Linked DNA regions of Oreochromis niloticus. The protein of the gene in region 2 interacts with the protein of the main gene of each other region in a biochemical or structural test. Links are inferred from orthologs where the notes say so. Each region holds a gene or a part of one and is shown on either strand. Other genes may lie near its edges. The genes, in order: pawr and dapk3.

Region 1 (10,110 bases), on a different chromosome or scaffold from region 2:
ATGCTGCACAGAACGAGCGGGGAGATAATCCCAGGCATCTCTATTCACACCTGTCCACTAATATTCACATCACAAAGGCAGCTTGTGTGAGGAAGTCTTCATTTGCATAGTTTGCCCCCCCCCAATCCAACAGGAGGAGAAAAGAGAAAACTTTTCACAAAAGGAGTCCATCTGCCGGGCAACCGGTTTCTGGATTTTTGTGTTTCCATCTGTGTGCAAAGCTTGCAGGATCTCAAACCATGAGATAAAGCTTCCATAATTAAAGCTGGATTATGGGTAAACATTACTTTTAAATGGTGACACAATGCCAAAAAAATTTGAATATTAAGAAGAATATTAAACTAAAACAACAAAAGCACTAAGTTTTCTCAATACAGATAAAAAGTAGGAGCTGACGTTACTAATTCATCAATAAAGAGAACAATATAACATCAAAAAATTTAAATTTTATATTTTTTGTATAGTCTGAGTGTTATATTTGAGTTAATGAGATATACAGTAATTAAAATTGCAAATCTTTACTTTTTCCTGAAGGGGTTACTGCACCAGAGGCAGTGCAGGATATGACTTCAAACTGCAACTTTAGGAAGTCTGAAAATACTCGAGACAAATTTAAGATGCTGGAGGTTGATTATAGGAGTACACCCTTTAATGGTGAACTCAAACCAGGCGAGCATGTTTAAACCAAAGTCCAGTTCAGTAACGAGCGTTTATGCTTCATCGTGCTCGGTTCAGCCCACTAAAACAGATGAGATTGGGAATGGTTCACTGATCTCAGGCGTGGTAATCATCTGGTTTGATTGCACTTCCTTAAGACGAGCTGCTTCCGTGCAGTATGACTGAAATGTGATAAATACAGGAAGGCAGATGAGAGCACTGTACCCAGAAATAAACACAAAAAAGCCTCAAAGTACAAAGAATCATGGCGTCCACTGATCTGTGCACGAAAGGGAGACACATGAGCTCAGTGCAAGCACAACCTTAGATCCATTATATCCAGGAGGCTTATCATCTCATAGCTGGTTCACAGTCATTATTTAAAAATTAATAAATAAATTTGTTTGTAAACAAATGCATTTACGTAACTCTGACATAGCTGCCAAACTGATACGATCGTCTAAGCTGATAACCGTCTGACCCTGCTGACCGTCCGAATAACTGGCACGGGTGTGCGAAAGCATCGGAGACGTGTCAAAATGTCCCTGGGGATGCTCCTTCGAAATCACCGGCCTAACTATAACGCGAAACACATGCATTAATCTCATGTTACGCAGGTTTCTGATTGCCCGACTTGAGGAAAAGTTTGGCTTCCCATTCAGGAAATCTGTCACATTATATTTACCAGCAGAGGTACTTCAGCAGCTGAAGACAAAAGTCAAAGATTGATCTTTGGCTGCCTGCAGTCACCTGGGCTTTAGGTCTCCATTTGATCACCGCTAACGGAAGATAAGCGGAACAGTTTAATCACTGTTATCCAACTCCAGGTGCCGACGGTTGACAAAGTATGATGATCAGAACCTACCAATCTGAGTTGTGGAGTCGGATGAATACAAATGCTTTCAGCAATGAACCTTTTTTTAAATCTGCATAGTATTTGTCATTTTATTTAACAAATGTAGTGATCTGCCTTCAGCTGTACATAACTTTTAAATAACAATTAAAAGAGAACATTAACAGGAATTGCAAGGCGCTGACAGGAATTAGGGTATGTAAATAGTTTACAAGCACACTGGACACAGTGTTGGACTGCAAGCACATCAGCATCACCATAGCACCCAAGCCTAGTGCACAGAAAACCTGCAGTTTCTTTCATTGGACACTTAAAGCTGAATTAAAAACCAGCAGGTACGTCCATCTTTTATACTCTTACTCACTATACTTTTAGGGATAAGGACCTGCCTCGGGAAGTTCTACAAACTTTCTCAGACCACAGCACTTCCAGTTCTTTCTCTCTCTTCCCCGCTCACACAAATCAGCTCACCACCTCATCAGATCACCTCCTACCTCCCCCAATAATAGACGGTTCGCCCACTTTACTACATAATCAGCTGCCTATGGGCTCGATCTAGCATATCTGGCGCAGCCCAGAGTGCTGAAGCCCAGCATTACAGCCTGGCTTGTGACCAGTTTTCAAACGGCTTTGCTCGGCACTGCTGAGCACCTAATAACAGGATGTGGGGCTCCAACTGACAGGCTGGTCAAACTCCAAGTTGTGCTGCCCCAGGGGCATATTGTTCTGGGTGGCTATCAAATAGGAGAATGAAAGGTGGTCACAGACCACTTTGAAAGACACCAGAATACCATCCCCTTACCAAAAAAAAACAAAAAAACAAAAAGGGGGGGGGGGCATCTATTCCGAGAATTTCCGTGTAATTTGAGTGTTTTTTCAGTGTTGGCCAAGCTTCATATCAGAGTTCCTGCATGTGTCTGAACCACAGGAATCAGGCAGGACTGCGACATGATTTAAATCCAACAACAATGAATGTGCAACACACATACTGTACACCTCCACCCGCTCCCACCATCTGAGAACTGCTTTCATTTCAGTCCAGCAGAGGCTCAATTAAACCAGACACATGTATGGGAGGAATTTGGAGTGTAGGAAGGCAAGTGGTGTTCAAGTGCAACACACAGAAGCCACTATTTCCTTACAAAAATAAAAATAAAAATGCACAAGCATCAAGCATCCACCCATTTCCACATACAAGAGACTAACTTTCACTAATAGTTTTTTGGAAATACTTTTATTCCCAATAGAGAAAAAACATGACCAATCCCAAAACGAGCCTCCGAGTTATACCCATTCTGATGCTGAGGTGAATCTCTGCCCTCTTTTCCCCCGACTCACCTCATTGGATGGTATGTTCACGACACCTGTGGATCTCCTTTTTTCCCTTAGCTTCCTCTTCTCGATCTGTCCTTTCCCCTTCCTGGCGCTGGGCCCGGTGCTCTTCTTCTCCTTGCCCTTGCTGCTGGGTGACGGGCTTTCCTTGTCACTGTCGTTGCAAGCCATGGGAGTAGAGTCCTGAGTCTTCTCCGGCTGAGGCAGGGCCTTCTTCAGGTTGCTTCCCGGCGTGGCTGAGGGTGCCACGGGGTGGTGCATTTCCTCCTCGGGCCTCTTTAGAGAAGTGCCAGAGGAGGACCGAGCAACCGCGTAGGAGGAGGGGTGGCAGTTCCCAGCGGAGGAGCTTCGGTCCGGGTTGCCGTTGTTGGTGAACTCGGTGGCCGAAGGAAGAGGAGGAGGAGATGGAGGAGGAACGGCGTTGCGGCTGCTGTTTGTATTGCTGGCACCCAAGGGAGTACCAGTGGCTGCGGCAATGTCCCCCAGCATTTTGGCTCTCATTTTCTCCCGTTTTGCCTTCCACTCCTCCAAAAAGTCCGTCGCGGCGCTTGACTTGAATCCGCCTGTAGCCATGATCCCTTTTTTCTTATAAGTTCAAAGTCGAAGTGAGGAAAAAAAGTAACTTAAAAGTTGAAGTTGATATGAATTTTCAGCTCTCGGCCACCGTCCTAATTGCACCACATTCCTCAAGTGATTAACTCGGGAGCTGCTGAAAGGTAGAATGAAAATAAAGTCAGGACAAGTAAACTTTCAGCTGTTCATTATGGAGGCGTTCTCACCTCCACCTCGCGATACTCAGCGTGCAGGACGGGTTTTGTTTAAAAAGTAAGTTTACAAAGTCTGTTTATCTCTAAGGTAACTTTCCGCCCGAAAGAAGAAAGTCAGAGTGTGGAGAAGTGGACGAGAGAACAACAAAGGTCTAAATTCAGGTAGAAACTCACCTGAGTGGAGCTGTCTCGGTCGCTGAACTGCTCTTCACGGTCCAACCAGGTGTGCCCGAGCTGCTCTCACATGAACTGCTGTAGTCTGCGGAGCTGGGACCCGCCGTGCTCGCTCTACTCCTCTGAAAACACCGGCTTGAATCCCGAAAGTGCGCGAACACTTCCGACTGAAGCCGAAGCAGAGAAGGGGCGCTGTGTAATAACTCTTCACTGTTCCCACAGGTGCTTTCGGGTTTAAGGTTATTTGTTATAGCTTTTACAATACTTATCGGCGATATTTCCATAAAGATAAAGGTTAATATAGTTGTGTTAATTATTTTTATGATAACATTTCTGCATTTTCATGCTTCCTTATATGTAAGTTGTGTAAAGTGTATATGTACAAAGTTTCAAGCAGCCCAGATATTTTTTTTACAATTGTTTCTGTTGTTTTTAAATCATCAGTTATTTTATTTATCTATTTTTGTATGTGGATTCTTTTCTGTTTGCCATTTGTTATTGTTGCACAGGGGAACATATTTCTTCACTGTGAGTATGACAATAATTTTCTATAATTTATCTGTCTGTGTTACAAAAACTAGCCAAGACCAGTAAAATGACTGCAACCACTCCTTCCCTTTCTTTAATAAGGGCAAAGAAAGGAAAGGATTGCTTCCATTGTCAGTTAGAAATTTGATAAACATTTTCATTTGTATAAGATCTGCATTCATGCTCTTTAAATTAACTTTTTATTACCTTGCGGTAAGAAGAAAAAGTGTAAAGAAGAAGCATTGTCCCCTTTGATGAGCCACCCATTTACCCATTTACAAGAACATGATTAACAGCTTCGCAAGAATAAGGTCTGCTGTCATAACATGTGCATGTGTATTTAACAGTGCAAAAGCAACAACTCTTCACATGTACAGTTTCTTTTGTAATAAACATTCGTATTTTACTTCTTTATGATCCGAACAATGTGTCTAGGTCTAAAATTCTGTTCACCCCTGTGTAGTTATGCTGGCTTTGCATCACCACTCAGCAATCGAAATTCATTTTTTACAATTTCATTGCTGTTTTCATACTTTTTTTAGCCATCAGTTGGTCAAATTGGACCCTCTGGTGGGTCCAGACCTGTCCTTGAAAATCCATCCACTCCTTGCTTTAAGAGCTTTCTGTAATTCACTGAAAACTTTCTGTTTTGCTCTGAGAGTTGAGTGGAAGTTCGAGACCTTGAAAATGTGATTGTTAAAGTCCCCGTACACCTCTGCGGCTCGACTTGTGTCAACAGCAACAGTGTCGCTGATTTCACGTCTTCAGTGGCCCTTTGATCTTTGCACAGTCACAGTGGAACACTTCGGCACAAGGGCATTTCTCAACACCTTCTCTCACGCAGGTCCCACAGAGTCCCTTAGGCACCCGATAACTCACCCAACCAGCTCTGATCAGATGAAAAACCTGCTTTCAGGGAAACTTGATCCCCGGGTAGGGTGAGGGCAACTTTCGATGACTGAGCAGTTCATTTCATTTTTTTTTGTTATGACTTGACAATTTACAAGAAATGTGCGCTGCTCAAAGTTGAAACCTCGCTGACAGCGGAAAACTTCACTTTAAAAATCGACATGCAATTATATCTGTACTCAGTTGTTGTTCTGAAATATCTGAGTCCTCAAAGTTCTAAATAAGGCTTTCAGTAGACAGAACACATGTTTGATAACAATAATAAACCTCTATTACATTAAAAAAGAGCAAAAAATTTCAATCTGAGATCTCAGAAAGAGCCTTTAAACAGGGATATCACATAACTTAAGCTCTATGCATTTAGACCTGTACACATGGTCACGATGACATGCTGAAATTCAAACCGAGCATCAGAGTGAGGAAGAAAGATGATTTCGCTGACTTTGAATGCAGCACTTTGTTGTTGGTCTGAGTATTTCAGAAGCAACTGTTTTCCTAGGATTTTCCCATACAATGATCAACAATCTCTGAGGAGTGCTTCCTCAGTTTTGTTGAATCAATTCCATAACACATTAAGGCAAAAAAAACTGATGCTGGCAACATGCACCTAATAAAGTGGCCGGTGAGTGTATTTAGGGAGTTGTTTTGATGCAGTGTCCAAATTAACTAAACTGTTTATGATCATAAAAACTGTGCTGATGATTTCTGAGTCCAAATAAATCTCAGGATTGTTTGACTGCCATTTCTTAAACATCACACACTAACACAAAAAATTCAATTTCCGCTTAGTTCACAAAAAAAAGAGCAAGATTTCAGTTACACACCGCATATGTGGCTTCAGCAGATTTTCATCTAAATACTAAAGTGGGTATGTCTCAGAGTCTCAAATTTTCTCCTGAACTTATATTCCAAGTGGGAGCCGTGACCCATCTTGTTTTCCCTTTTCTCCTGAGAACTGGGCTTGTGAGGTGACAGGTTTGTGATTATACACCCCTCAGAGGCAGGGTAAAATCAATAAGACAATATTCATCTTGTAGTTGCTCGACCAATAAATAATCCACTGTCACAGCATAAAAAAATCCTGCGGATGATATAACTGACAGCTTGCTGGTTTTCCATTCCCTCTGATAATTTCCTGATACATGGACAATATTTCTAAGATAGCAAAATGCAGTTCTAGTGATGTTTGTAACCTGAGATTGAAAAGATAAGCCACAAGCAATCTTCATGATTTGTGTTTGTAACTTTTTGTAAATGATACAGATATTTTTATGCAATTACAGCCGTTTCAAACTAAAATGAGTCCCAAAGAGTAAAGATTGGTTTCAGGTGAGTTAGCTGGGTCTGTATTGTAGAGTGACTGTGGCTCTAGAACAGGTTGCTTCCTAATCAGAAGGTCAGTGGTTTGACCCCCAGCTCCTCTGGTCTGCATGTTGCGCGTGTAATGTTATAGTTAAGAAAAACAAACAAAACAACACAAATGGGTGAATAAGGCTTGCATTAAGAAAGCGTTACGAGAGCTTAAATAGAGTAGAAAGGCACTATATAAGCACCAGTCCATTATTCATTGAAAGTAACATAATTACAGTTACTTAAATTGCCCCAGTGAGCTGTGACACATCAGTCTGTGTTGCTATGACGATTTTATCTCTGTGTTTACATGAAAAGGCAATTAAAATGTTAAATGAATTAACATAAGTAGCTTTCCTATCATTAAGTAAAAGATATAAAATATGGGCGCAATGCTGGAATTTATAGTACACTCTTAGTCTTATCAGCCATTTAAAGCCGCCTACACCCATCCATCCATTCACTTCCGCTTATCCTTTTCAGGGTCGCGGGGGGTGCTGGAGCCTATCCCAGGTGACTTAGGGTGAGAGGTGGGGTACTCCCTGGACAGGCAACCACTTGCGCTCACATTCACTCCCCCATTCACACCTATGGACAATTTAGTGTTTCCAATTAACCTATCCCCACTATCTGCATGTCTTTGGACTGTGGAAGGAAGCCGGAGAACCCGGGGAGAACCCACGCAAACAGGGGGAGAACATGCAAACTCCATACAGAAAGACCCCGGCCCGATGGTGGAATTGAACTCAGGACCTTCTTGCTGTGAGGCAACATATTTACATATTGTTGGTGTTCACTGTCTTGCCTGATGACACTTTGGGACACATACTGAAGGAGCTGCGAATCAAAGCCACCAATCTTCCCATTAGATGACCTACGCTGTCTCCTGAGCCACGGCTGTGTGACTTCACAGGGCTTAGGGCTTCTTCATGAAACATCTTAAGGCCTGATCATTGCTTTCAAGAAAAGTGCTTCACAAATCCAGTATACTTCTATTATTAGTGCACAAAGAAAATGCCAGAGAAGCTCTCTTCGAGGACGAGAAGCGCAGTGACAGTTTTGTGAGGGAGTCAACAAATGATAAAACTGTTTTTAAGCTCAAGCACAAACTCAAAACAAGGAGTTAATATGATGGGAAGCCGCACAACAGCTACCAGCTCATTAAAATACAGCAGGTTTGCAGCTTTCAGTCGAGTCTATGTATAACTTTGTTTCTAAAAACAAGTCCCAAAGACATCATTATCATTTCAAACCTGTTCTGGAGTTCTCCTGCATAATGAGCCGAAGTTAGAGGAAGTGTAATTAATACAACATCCTGCGAGTCATTGCAGCATGCTGTTGCAAAGCTCCGTTGTTATTACTCTGCATTGCATTCCAGTTATATTCCAGCCACGTGCATGCCATTACCCAACTGTACAAGCACAGGTTTCTCCCCGTGCAGTGATTTAAACCTGCTATAGGTGCTTACTGTCAGGAACCTAATTTCATGCTACGATAATAGCCCCATAACTCACCTGTGCTGAAGGATATGAGCCTTTTGGTGTTAGATTTGTGTGCGGCCAGCTTGCTCACAAGGGTGCACTGACTTTAAGGGAAGTTTACCACAGATACTCAAATGTACATATCTGAAATAGAATCGGCTTACATGTTATTAGATCGGTGTTTTTCTGCCTTAAAGATCAGAAAATGTGACCTATCTACGTGTCTCAGGAGCGAGTGGGAGGCCAGGCATTCAGCCATTATCTCTGCATGTGCTAACCCTGGTACAGATAATGAGAAAACCTGGGTGGAGCATGGGAGTGAGGTGCCTCTCCTAAAAATAAACCTTGATCTATGGACTCGGGTCACTCTGCTGCATATTTAGCATATTTCTGTCTGCTGTTGAGGAGGGGGAGAAAAAAAAGAATGAGGATCGGGGGTGCTTAAAGGCTGTCGCTAAGTGTTTCCTTTCATGCCAACACAAACGCTGCTGTGCAACTTAAATGCCCAATAGCATTCCAGTAATGCATTACCGAAATAGCCAAGCTCAAGCTCTGTATATAATGAACACTGAATTTGTATTCAAAGTACCCAACAAGACTCTGAGAGCTTTAATAAGTGGCCCTATCATGCATTTTGTAACCCATAACACATTTATGGTAAAGAGGAATAAAATGCAGCGCTCGCTAGGCTGTAAAATGAGCAGTGCACGTAAAAATATATTAAACATAACAGTGTGTAATGGCCACTCTTGCATTCACACATTTTCATTTATTTGACAGTAATGCTGCAGTCAGGAGCTATTAGGTGGGTAATTCTGTAGCGAGCAGACTCAATCGAGCTCGCTCCCCCATGAAATTGTTTGTCCAATCTAGGGAAGTATTCACGAAATGTTTCTCCCAAGCCTCCCAGATGTTTGCACACAGATGCCGAGTGGGCCAGGAGTCCACAGAATGGGGGATTTTCACAAGAGAAAGCCTGAGAAATATTTTTTGTTTGTTTTTAAATGAGAATCTGGTGATTGTGATGTGTTGTTGTTTCATAGAAGAAAAGAGTCACAATTCAGGTGTTCCTGTGATGAATCCACTGCCTTATTAGGTACACCTGTTCATCAGATCATCACATGGAGACGTAGTCAAAAAAGTTCAAACTGAGCATCAGAATGGGGACGAAAGGTAATTTAAGGGACTTTGAATGCAGGTTGATGGTACCAGCCAGGCTGAGTATTTCAGAAACTGCTGATCTACTGGGATTTTCCCCACACGACCAACTCTAAGGTTTACAGAGAATGCTCTGACAAAAAAATCAGCTGAGCAGCTCTGGGTAAAAATACTTTGTTGATGTCAAGGGTTAGAGGAGAATGGCCAGATTGCTTCAAGATTATAGGAAGGCAGCAATAACTCAAATAACCGCTTGTTACAACCTGAAGAGCACAACACATTGAAGCAGACAGCAGCTAAAGACCACACCAGGTGTGGTCACCTGTCAGCTAAGAACAGGATTACGAGGATACAAATTACACGGGCTCACCTAAATTGGACAATAGGAGATTGAAAAAACGCTGTCTGGTCTCGTGAGTCTCGATTTCTACTATGTCATTTGGATCGAAGGGTCAGGATTTGGAATAAATAACATGAAAGCATGCCTCGTATTAGCGGTTTGGGCTGGCGGTGTTGTTGTAATGGTGTGAGGGATTTTCTTGACACACTTTTGGCCCCTTAGTACTAAATGAAACACTACAGCCTACGTGACCATGTCCATTCCTTTATGACCACAGTGTATTCATCTTCTGATGGCTGCTCCCAACAAACTAACAGAAGAAGAATTAAAGCATTTATGAGGGCAAAAAAGTGTAGCATTAATACATAAATTAATACTGTTTGTGTGTTTAAGTTGAGTATTGCCATATTTGAATAGTAGGCTAGCGCTCTGGAGTTGTAAGTTCATGCTAGCACTGGCTAGCACACTTGATTAGCGAGGCTCATCTGTCACTCGTTATTAATGGAGATGCTAACAGGGCTAACATTGAGTATCTTTTAGGACAAACAATTGCTAAATCAG
Region 2 (10,229 bases):
ATCACTGAAAGGAGAAGGACGGGCAAGTCGATGACATGAGACGCTGACAAAGCAGCATTTTCTACTTGAGCTTTTGAACTGTGACACTTGCATTTTATCACAACTGTCAGCAGCTTACATACAAGTCCAAAAAATAAGCTTTGCTCCTGTACTTGCCATCATTCACCAACTAAAATAATACAGAAATAATCCTATTATATGATTTTTATTCTATCCTCATGAACTTAAATGTTGCAGTACAGTTTAAATGTTTTGGTCACCATATCTTTATCGATAAAGATTAGTAGTCTTTTCCTTTTTTAGAAGCTTATGTCTGACTTTTAGCTATCAAAAATAAGATGATTACATTGACCCCATTGAGAGTAGTCGTCCCTGAAAATATGATTTCATTAATGTTAAGATATTTAACCCAAAATATATTTTAGCATGTTTTTACCCCACAATAATCAGGGCAGGCGTGTTTGTCTGCTCACACCAACATGTCATCTACCACTGCTGTATCAGAGCCCCTCAAGTTTCCCCTCAGTGCTGACCTTGAGGTCGAAGTGAGCGATGCGTTTGGAGTGGAGATACTGAACGCCGTCCAAGATCTGCTTGAGAAATTGCGTGGCCTCCTCCTCGGTCAGAGATTCTTTCTCTGCCAGGAAGTCGAACAGCTCTCCTCCAGACACCAGCTCCAGGATCAGGATCACATCCGTCTTGTTTTCAAAGATGTCATGCAGGGTGATGATGTTGCTGTGCTGGATCTCACGCAGGATGTTGACCTCGCGTTCAATCTCTTCCCGGCTCACCCCCCGCCGGCTGGACGACAGGCGCCGCTTCTTGATAAACTTGGCTGCATACTCGACGCCTGTGCTCTTCTCCTTGCACTTACGGACGATGGCAAACTGTCCACTGCAGAGAGGAAACATCAGAGAGATGTCAATGCAATTTTCTCCTACCTCATGTGTTGATGGGGGGAAAAAAAAGATGTTTTTTAAGCAGAAGATACTGCAACTCTGTCCATCATCGTAGATATTTATCAGGAAAGACTTCAAAATGCTTTTAGCTAATACATCAGTTGTATCTAGTGTTATTTTTTTTCCTGCTTTTGCCCTTTCTGGATTTCAGATCTTGTAAATAAAACCCTGTATAGACAATGAACTTGGATCAAATTCAAGTAAAATCCTGTAGTGTCAAAACCCGTCATGTCTTGTCTTTTTTAATTGTTTTATTTGCTTTTTTCATCACTCCATTCACATATACGGCTTAACCAGAGGAGGAAAAAACCCCCCCAAAAAGTCAAGCCCATTTACAGTCCTTTGGCAAACAAAGCACACCCTTTCTGCCTCCACAGGAATTAAGTGCCAGCCAGCTGCTGCAAGTCATCAAATGCACTTGATCAACAGTAAGTGTGAGGACCTCTATAAAAGCATAGGTTTTGGGAGTTTGCTAATCTTTAGCATTAAGTCATCCCATAAGTTTAGATCCTAGCAAATTCACCCTAACATCAGACCATTCAACACTCAGAGAAACTGCAAAAAACACCCAAGAACTACATCTCAGACTCTAGAGACCTCAGTTAACATATTAAATGTTAAAGTTTGTTAAATTTTTGGAAAGAAAAAAAAAAGGAAAAAAAACAAACAAACAAAAAACTTGGCAGCAAAATCACATCTGAACAAACCACAGGACTTCTGAAACAATCTGCTTTGGACATACAAGACCAAAGTGGAGATATCTGGCCATAATGCACACCAACATATGGCAAAATCAAACACAACACATCAACTATCAAACACGGTGGTGGAGGGGTGATGATCCAGCCTTTTATTGCAGCCACAGGACACGGACACCCTACAGTCACTGACTCGACACCGAATTCTTCTGTATACCAAAGTATTCTAGAGCCAAAATTCCCCAACAAACCGCACATGATGATGATGATCAAAACTAGCACCACTGATTAACAATGGTTTCATGATCATTGATATGCAAATTATCATGGCCAATGATCAATGGCCTGCAATCACAGCATTGTAAGATGGTGAAAGATGTACCCTGAGCTCCTTCCTCAATTCACAGATGGTCTTTCCATTTTCACATAAATGCTCCCTGTGCAGGATGTGTACATCCTCATCACTGAAAGAGTCACTGGCCTGCAAGTATAAATACTGCTGGTCCAACTGTGCTGTGCTAGCCTTCTTAGACTGTGAAATTTCCATCAGTAATGGGGGACACTTAAAAGTCGACGTGTACCGTAAACCGACGCACACGGATCAGTATTTAAGGTTTTGACTCTCGTCATCCACTAGAGCACAAATGTGTCATCATCAGAACACTACAACACAGAGAGAACACTATCCTCACAAAGGTACTCTTGGGCACTGATCAATGGTCATGACAATTTGAATATGAATGATCATGAAACTGACCTCACAGCCCATTGTTAATCAGTGGTGCTGCAGTCTGCAGTCAGCAGAGACTGAACTGAAGAAGTTACTTGGATGAGTGACAAAAAGTTTCTGCCACTGAAAATGCTCCATCCGGAATTAAATGAAATGTCTGTTATCCAAACAGAAGTTAAAATCTCTGACTGAAGCTCAAGAAAGCAAAATAGTGTGTTGTCAGCACAACAAAACTATCATTAACACAACTAAAAACAAGAAAAGTCTGTTTTATTCCACATAGACTATTAAGCACAAATGTGTGGTTTAGATCCATTTAGTATCTGCATACACACACACAGAGTCCCCTCTCTTACACTACAGCAGAGGTGCAAAGGCACAATGAGAGGCAGTGACGTCACACTTTTGCTGCATTACTGCAGAAAAAAAAAGCTAAGCCAGAAAGTTGTGTTTCATCTCCAAAAATGTGATGACTCATTCACAAACTATCCAGCACAGCAGAAAAGGATTAAAGACGGCATTTAATACAGTGCTGCTCACTAGGGCTGCCACGATTAGTCGACTAGTCACGATTACGTCGACTATTAAAATCGTCGACGACTAATTTAATAGTCGACGCGTCGTTTGAAGCTTTGTAAGATCCCAAAAGACGCAGGAATAAGTAGTAGTATTTAAGAGTGTAATAACGGACTGAAACAGAAGATGGCAGCACTGCATGTACAAGGATGCCAGCTGCCATTAAACCCCGAAGAAGAAGAAACTGTGTTCCAGAATTCATAGCGCGGCCCAGCGCAGTTGTCAACAATGGCGGCAGCTAGTTAGTTTTAATATTACAATTATTATTCTTTCTGGGTCACAAAATAAACGTTTAACATATTTTCAGGTGTACATTTTACGTCCAATGGATGCATGATCTGATTAGTCGACTAATCGCAAAAATAATCGGTGACTAGTCGACTATCAAAATAATCGTTTGTGGCAGCCCTACTGCTCACACATATCAAATATCTAGCCCTGTTCAGATCATGCCGACCTGGCATTAAAATCCATCTCAAGCAGCCTTGTGTGATGATTGCATTTCACATTTAGGTCTGTTTTTAATTATGGAGCACTGACAAGCAGAAAAAAAATATCACTTACACATCCTAAAAAGAGGAACTTAAAAAAATGTGTTTTACAAATTAACCAAACTTTGTCATCAAAGCACTACAGCAAAAAGTGTCCTTACACTTTCAGATGAACTGAAGCATACAGCACAACAGCTGAATAGGACAGCAATGAAGAAGACAGCAGAGTTTTCACATATAATGCTTTCAATTAAATGTTTTTAAAAAGACCCACAAAGCTTACCTCCCCAGCTCCTCTCCCATCTCATAGTACAACTCAACATCCTCTTGTCTGAAGCCAGCCATGGTGTGTTGACTCTTATGATGATGATGATGGGAGTAACGCCTTCAGATTTCCTGCAGTCAAAAAAACAAAAAACAAAACTTAAACGTGGATATGTGACACAGAGGCCACAGACACCACAGAGTACAGAGTATGGAGGAAGTGATAAGACAGTGTTAGCACTTTAGGGCTTCTTCCCTCCTTATTTGGAGTCAACACTGCTTTGGAGACTTTTTAGCTGATGTCAGACCTCTGCATACCAGTCCTACTACATCATGTCCTTCCCGGGATCAGCTCTCCGACTCAATTAAAGGGACTACACAACCAACTATGTTACCTTTCACTGGCTAGATAACAAACTACGAGCCAAATGAATGAATGTTTAACTGACCATACATAGATAATGACTTTAAAAAGATGCTAAATTGCGACGTTTATATTGCACTTTTCCATCATAAATGAAAAACGACACAAAGGAACACCTATTTAAAGCAAACACAAAGGTAAACTCGTGAAAAGGGATCATCGTGTTAACTTATTAGAATCTGAAGGATGTTTAAAGAACTTAAGGAAAGAAATAAAGGGAATCCCGACGACGGAAAGCAGCTAGCTTAGCTGTGAAGCTAACATTAGCGTTCTGTAGAAACACAGCGCTTAATAAAGACAAAGAAAAGGATTCATAGTAACTCAAATACTGACAACAACGCATATATTCAGTCACATAAAAGTGAAGGGATTTCTACTACAGATACTTACAGTACGGCTGGCTACGAGTGCTGCATTCCTTTGCCAAGTAGTTGTGTGTGAACTCCCCGACTGAGAAACATCAAGCTAACTGCGGCGGAACACAGCTTCCGGTGCCCTTCAAAAGTAAAAGCAATAACCTTCGGCGCCAAACAACGCAGTCGCCAAACCACTCTCTGATGTACTCATTTCTAATCTTGTCCATCCTGGTCACGCCCAATTAACGTGTTAACATCTTCAATCCCCCCCCGTAAATGCCTGTGTTACTGTGTAGATACTTACTTTATTGTGTGTTACACACATTCCCTGAGAAGGTACCCTTAAACTTATGTCTATTTTTATCTTTTTTCTCCTATGCTAAAACAATCTGAATGTAAATCTACATGGTGCCAACGGAGAATGCCAAACTGTGTTTCACTGTTTTTGTAACAGTGACTATAAAGACCTATTCTATTCTATACCAAAAGGATTTATCCCTCTGGGGCTAAAAAGAAAAAAGAGAAGCGTGAAGAAATGTTTCCATGAATACGTATCAGTAATGTAAGATCAACAGAATTATCAAACAAACCTTCAATTCAATCAAGATATGGTCAGCTTGGGTGATGTCAAATTCTATTTAAGGCCCCACAAAACCACAGCTAAGCTCTCGTTTGGCTAAAACGAGAGCAGTTCTTTTTCTTTGGCAATTTTTTTTTTGATATGTTTAAGATATGAACCAGCCATAAAAAACTAATAAGAATCATTTCACACTATGTGGCACCACTGCATTAAGTTTAAGTTGAGAGCTTATCAGGCAAATAGAAATATTTAGCCTTGATTTCGTAAGAAAACCTTTATTGTGAAAGTTGAAGTGGTTTAAGTTCCGCTGTCGTTGCGCATCTTGACGCAGGTAAACACCGGACAGAAGGGAGGACATATGGAATGACATCATGCTGAGTGAATCAGCCCGCTGCAGTACGTCAGTGAGCAACAAGACCCAGCATGCAGCAGCGAAAATTAAAGAGAGGCCAGAGCAGGGAAGAGGCACACTATTAGACAGTGATACACATGAACACATAACAACGGGGTTTCTAATAACGACTAACTTATTAAAATACTCTAATTAGACACAATACGAGTATGTTTTCTGGAAAATAATAAGTAGTTATCTGGTTAGTGGAATAGGCCGGGATTTTAGCAGGAGGGTTGATGCAGGATAGGAATGGACAGCACTTTCAGCGACTTTGGTCGTTCTTGCATTTTCAAAATGAGTTCCCTGACCGGGAATCGAACCCGGGCCGCGGCGGTGAGAGCGCCGAATCCTAACCACTAGACCACCAGGGACCATAGATAACCCGTGTTGGCGCTTTCAGAATCGTGCATATAATGTTGATATCGTCAGCCAGATGGAGGCTTAGAATGAACATGTTTTGAACATGTGTTGAATATGAGCTTCTGGTTTGCTCCAAAGTTTAGGTGCAGGTACAGCAGAGATAAGATCTCATCAGTGCTCTAATCTGCTACTCTGTGCGACCAGACGCATCTGGTCATCTGACCTGAATGCTATTCTGAGAGTCTACATGGTTAAAAGATCAAAAAGGTAAGGAGTTGCTGGTAGAAACAGGCTCTAATAACAACATGTATTTGTTTCTGTGGACAAGTACTGATCATAAAAAATACACAGTATGCAGACATCCGAGTAGACCCTCATGTCTTCTCGGATTTTCCCATGCAGTCCTCCACACTCTGCTCTTGGATATTATGATTGAAGTTTAAATAAGGACGACAGTATCCATAAGGTCCATGCCTTATGATGCTAGTGAGGATTTGGACAGCAGGATATTTCGTTTTCTGCATAAATCTGGTTAAAAGAGCCAAGGAGTTCATAATTAGAATTTGATATGTGCTCAAAGGTGTACAAAGTTGACATTGTTTGAAAAATGAGTTCCCTGACCGGGAATCGAACCCGGGCCGCGGCGGTGAGAGCGCCGAATCCTAACCACTAGACCACCAGGGACGGTGAAAGGATGCAAATCCCACACCTGAGTGTGGAAGCATATGATAATTGTTTTATCTCAGATAAGATAAGATAAGATAAACCTAGTCCCACACATGGGAAATTTTTGGTCACGGCAGGAAGTACAAGAGCAGGAAAAAAAAAAAAAAATTAAGAGAAAAAGGAGAATATATTAAGATAAACAGAATAACATACTATATAAAATAGAAAGAATACTGCATATAATAGAATAAGTACTATAAAAGAAATAAAAATAGAAATGCCAAGTAGAATAAAACACTACAAATAGAATTAAATACTTTGTTACATGGGGAAAATTGCACTTGGTTGGTGCCATTTATGGGCTCAAATTGTGGTCATAAATATTTTGTGCTGGTAAATCAAATGCATAATTTTGAACTAAGTTTTGTAACCTTGTAAACCAAAATATGTAAGAATTTTATGTTTGTGCATCTACAGATGAGAATTTGTGTGTGTGTAAAAAAGATTTGTGTTTGTAGATTAGAAATAGCATTATTACTTTAGGATTCTTTTAACACAAAGTCAGGGCTGACCCGGGACCACTGCTGTGAGTCACAGTGCGCAGCATAAAGGCCCTTTCACAGCGGACGCACCATGTGCTGCTAATGCTAACTGCTAACTAAGAGCCAAGGATCCAGAATTTGTGGCGCTGCCTGCTGAGCTCTGTGGCAGCTCTACGTGTACTAGATGCGCCTGCTCCTTGCCGTTTCTATCTCTGACTTTATGTCATTTACAAGAGTTTGTGTTGTTTTATCTTCAAATGTTCAATAAAAACATTTATCGCTAATTCATAACGAAGAAAGCTTTGTAACTATCCCCACTAGTGAAGACTGTGTCATTTCCACAACAATGCTTTCCCCCCAAGGTCTGCAGCGCTGTCGAAAAGGCTCTGGAGTGGCCCATACTGGAGGCAGTGTTGCCAACTCCTCAGTAAGGAAAATCGCTATTGGCAGTCCAAAAAATCGCTACAAGTCGCTAAATGACCTCATCGCCTAATTTGCATAATTGGTCATCAATTGAACATTTTTAACCATACTGTTGTTAACAAACCACATTAGGAATCTAAATGGACCAAAAACAGACAGTAGAAATAAACAGTCGCAATGTGAAAAAAACGATGGGGACTAGTCTGCTCCTAATTCAGGCTGATTGTTTTTGTGTGTGTGTGTGTGTGTGTGTGTGTTTTTCAGGTATCTCTCCAAACACATAGGCTGTGCTGGCTCACAGAACTAGTGGCTCATCCTCATTTTCGTCAAGATTCTCTATGGCAGGTTCAGCAACTGTAGCACTTGACTTAAATGAGTAAGCACCTGATGTGCCAAAAAGCTGCAAAACATTATCAGGCAGCTGGTGCTCATAGCAAGCCTCACCAGACAGCTTCAGTCCATATCGGATGCACAGGATGGAGTTAAGGCTCTGCAGGGACATTTCTAAGTTTGCTTTTTACCACACTCATCTGGCTGAATACTCTCTCAACTTCAGCATTTGAGTGTGGCAAGGACAACACAGACACAGCAGCCATGGCAAGTTCTTAAAACGGGTTGATATCAGCTGCATCCCTGTACTTCCAAATCTCACTCTAGAAGTCTATTGTGTTTTTTGTCTCATTCCATTTCCTAAGATGGATGGTATGCCATTGGTGGACAATCTTATCTATCACTTCAGGGGAGAAGCCAAAGAGTTTAGCAATTTTTTCTATTTCTCCAGGGCTCTTGTTGTGCTTTAGAGTTTCCTCCACATTGAAAACTGACATGTACTGCAATGCTTCAATGTTGTCAGGCAGTCTCACCCTCAACTCATTAGTGAGGGATATGGTAAAGGCTACACACTGCTTTCTGATATTTTTTTCATCCTCAGGCGCAAGGTGCAACTCAGCTGCTTTTGACTCAAAAAAGGTAACCAAGGTATGGTTTGGAACTGATGTATCCCTCTACTGGCTCTTTGAGTACATCAACATTTGCCAGTGGATTCAGCACCCTGCTGCTCACAGACTTGATCAGGCTTACCAAGATGTAAAGTAGTTTAAGAGATCTACCTGTTCTTCTTCAAAAGCCTTGATGGCGGTCTGTACCTCTCCCAGCAATGACTTCAGAAAAGACATGTACAAGATATTTTGAGGATCATTGTACATGGAGTGTAAAACTTCAGTCATGTAGCAATGTTCACTGGACTTGCTGACTGCAAAATGCAGCCTAAGGTCATCCCACTGGTCCAAAATGCGTGAAACCACAGGTTCAATGGAGAGGCAACGTTTGGCACACACCTTGGTTATCTGTAAAGGTTTCTCCTCACAGGTGATGGTCTCATAAATGGCCTTGTAGACCTCCTTGCGCTTTGGAGACACTAAACCAAGTACTCCACACTACGGGGTATGGTGTCATTGGAAGCATGACTTACAGCAAGCTGCAGAGAGTGGCATACACAGCGAATAAGAACAAGATCTTTGAGGCCATACTCCTCCTTCAGCTCTTTATGGACCCCATTGTTAATCCCTGTCATCACAGGTGCATTGTCGGTCCCTATCCCCAAGAGTTTGTCTTTTTTAAGACAACACTTCTCAAGGAAAGCCACAACAACACGAGCTATAGATCTGGCATCTCCTCCCTCCAACTCAACAAGCCCAAGAAAATTGAACACAATTGTCTCCTTGGTGTCACTAAAGTACCTTATGACAACCCCCAGGTACTTAGAATTCACCAGTGTGTGAATGTGTGTGTGAATGGGTGGATGACTGGATATGTAAAGCGCTTTGGGGTCCTTAGGGACTAGTAAAGCGCTATATAAATACAGGCCATTTACCAGGCCATTTAGAAACACTTATATCTGTGGACTCATCGAGGAGGAGGCTGAAACGCTGATTACCCACATCTGCAACCAACTTTTTCAGAAAGTATGGTGCCAGAACACCATTAATCATTTCTGTGCACTTTGTCCTGTGCATTTTGAAATGGGTAGCGGCAGTGGAGTCTGAGAAAGCAGCTCTACATGCCTCTCCAATATGATCACATGCCAGCATGGAACAGTGTTCAGCGATAGCTTTATTAAAGAATAATAAACTTTTTGCAGAGTCACTTTTTTTTAGTAATAAACGGCAGTTTCATTTGGGTGGAACTGTTATAAGGCTTTGCCTTTTGAGTATGTTTTTTGTGTTAGCATGTGTTTTTTCACATCACTCAGTTTGGCATAGAAATCAGCCTTGCAATACAGGCAGTATGCAAGAGTATCATCTCCAATAAACGGCTTCGACCAGTCCTTAAATTCAGGGTTTGATTCCCACTCTTTTCTGTATTTTTGAGTGTACAGTTTAGACTGAGACTTGATGAGCTAGCTAGCTATTTGTTTAGCTTATGTCACAGAGAGGCTCACACACAGTGGAGGAAGTGAGTAAGTGACTGTGTTGGAATGATGTTTTAGTGCATTGATTTAGTTTAGACAAAGAAAAATGTACATTTACTGCTGTGGCTTCGTTCATGCGCGATTCATTTGCAGTTTGGATGCTGTCGCGAGTTCAAATATTGAGGGAGGGCACAAAACAACACTGGTCCAGAAGAATTAAGTCAAACAATGATTTATTGAGCACACACATGGGAAGATGTATACTGCAGCACCAGCATCGATCTTCCCCGAACAGCTCAGTTCAGAATGGTTTCATTCATCAGGGTTACGCCCCCCTCATGGCGTGATTACAGATT

The links.
Region 1: of the proteins of dapk3 (region 2) and pawr, one has a biochemical effect on the other in vitro, tested with the Homo sapiens proteins (2 studies listed by BioGRID). The link is inferred for Oreochromis niloticus from reciprocal best matches to the Homo sapiens genes DAPK3 and PAWR.

Annotation. Positions count from the first base shown.
Region 1 is NC_031981.2:15,982,311-15,992,420, reverse strand, and holds the start of pawr (PRKC apoptosis WT1 regulator protein), read right to left. Parts: upstream 3,994-10,110; 5' UTR 3,784-3,993; intron 3,552-3,783; 5' UTR 3,416-3,551; coding exon 2,849-3,415; intron 1-2,848. UniProt on the Homo sapiens protein: Pro-apoptotic protein capable of selectively inducing apoptosis in cancer cells, sensitizing the cells to diverse apoptotic stimuli and causing regression of tumors in animal models.
Region 2 is NC_031982.2:22,820,207-22,830,435, forward strand, and holds the start of dapk3 (death-associated protein kinase 3), read right to left. Parts: upstream 4,685-10,229; 5' UTR 4,533-4,684; intron 3,851-4,532; 5' UTR 3,800-3,850; coding exon 3,738-3,799; intron 895-3,737; coding exon 534-894; intron 1-533. UniProt on the Homo sapiens protein: Serine/threonine kinase which is involved in the regulation of apoptosis, autophagy, transcription, translation and actin cytoskeleton reorganization. Involved in the regulation of smooth muscle contraction.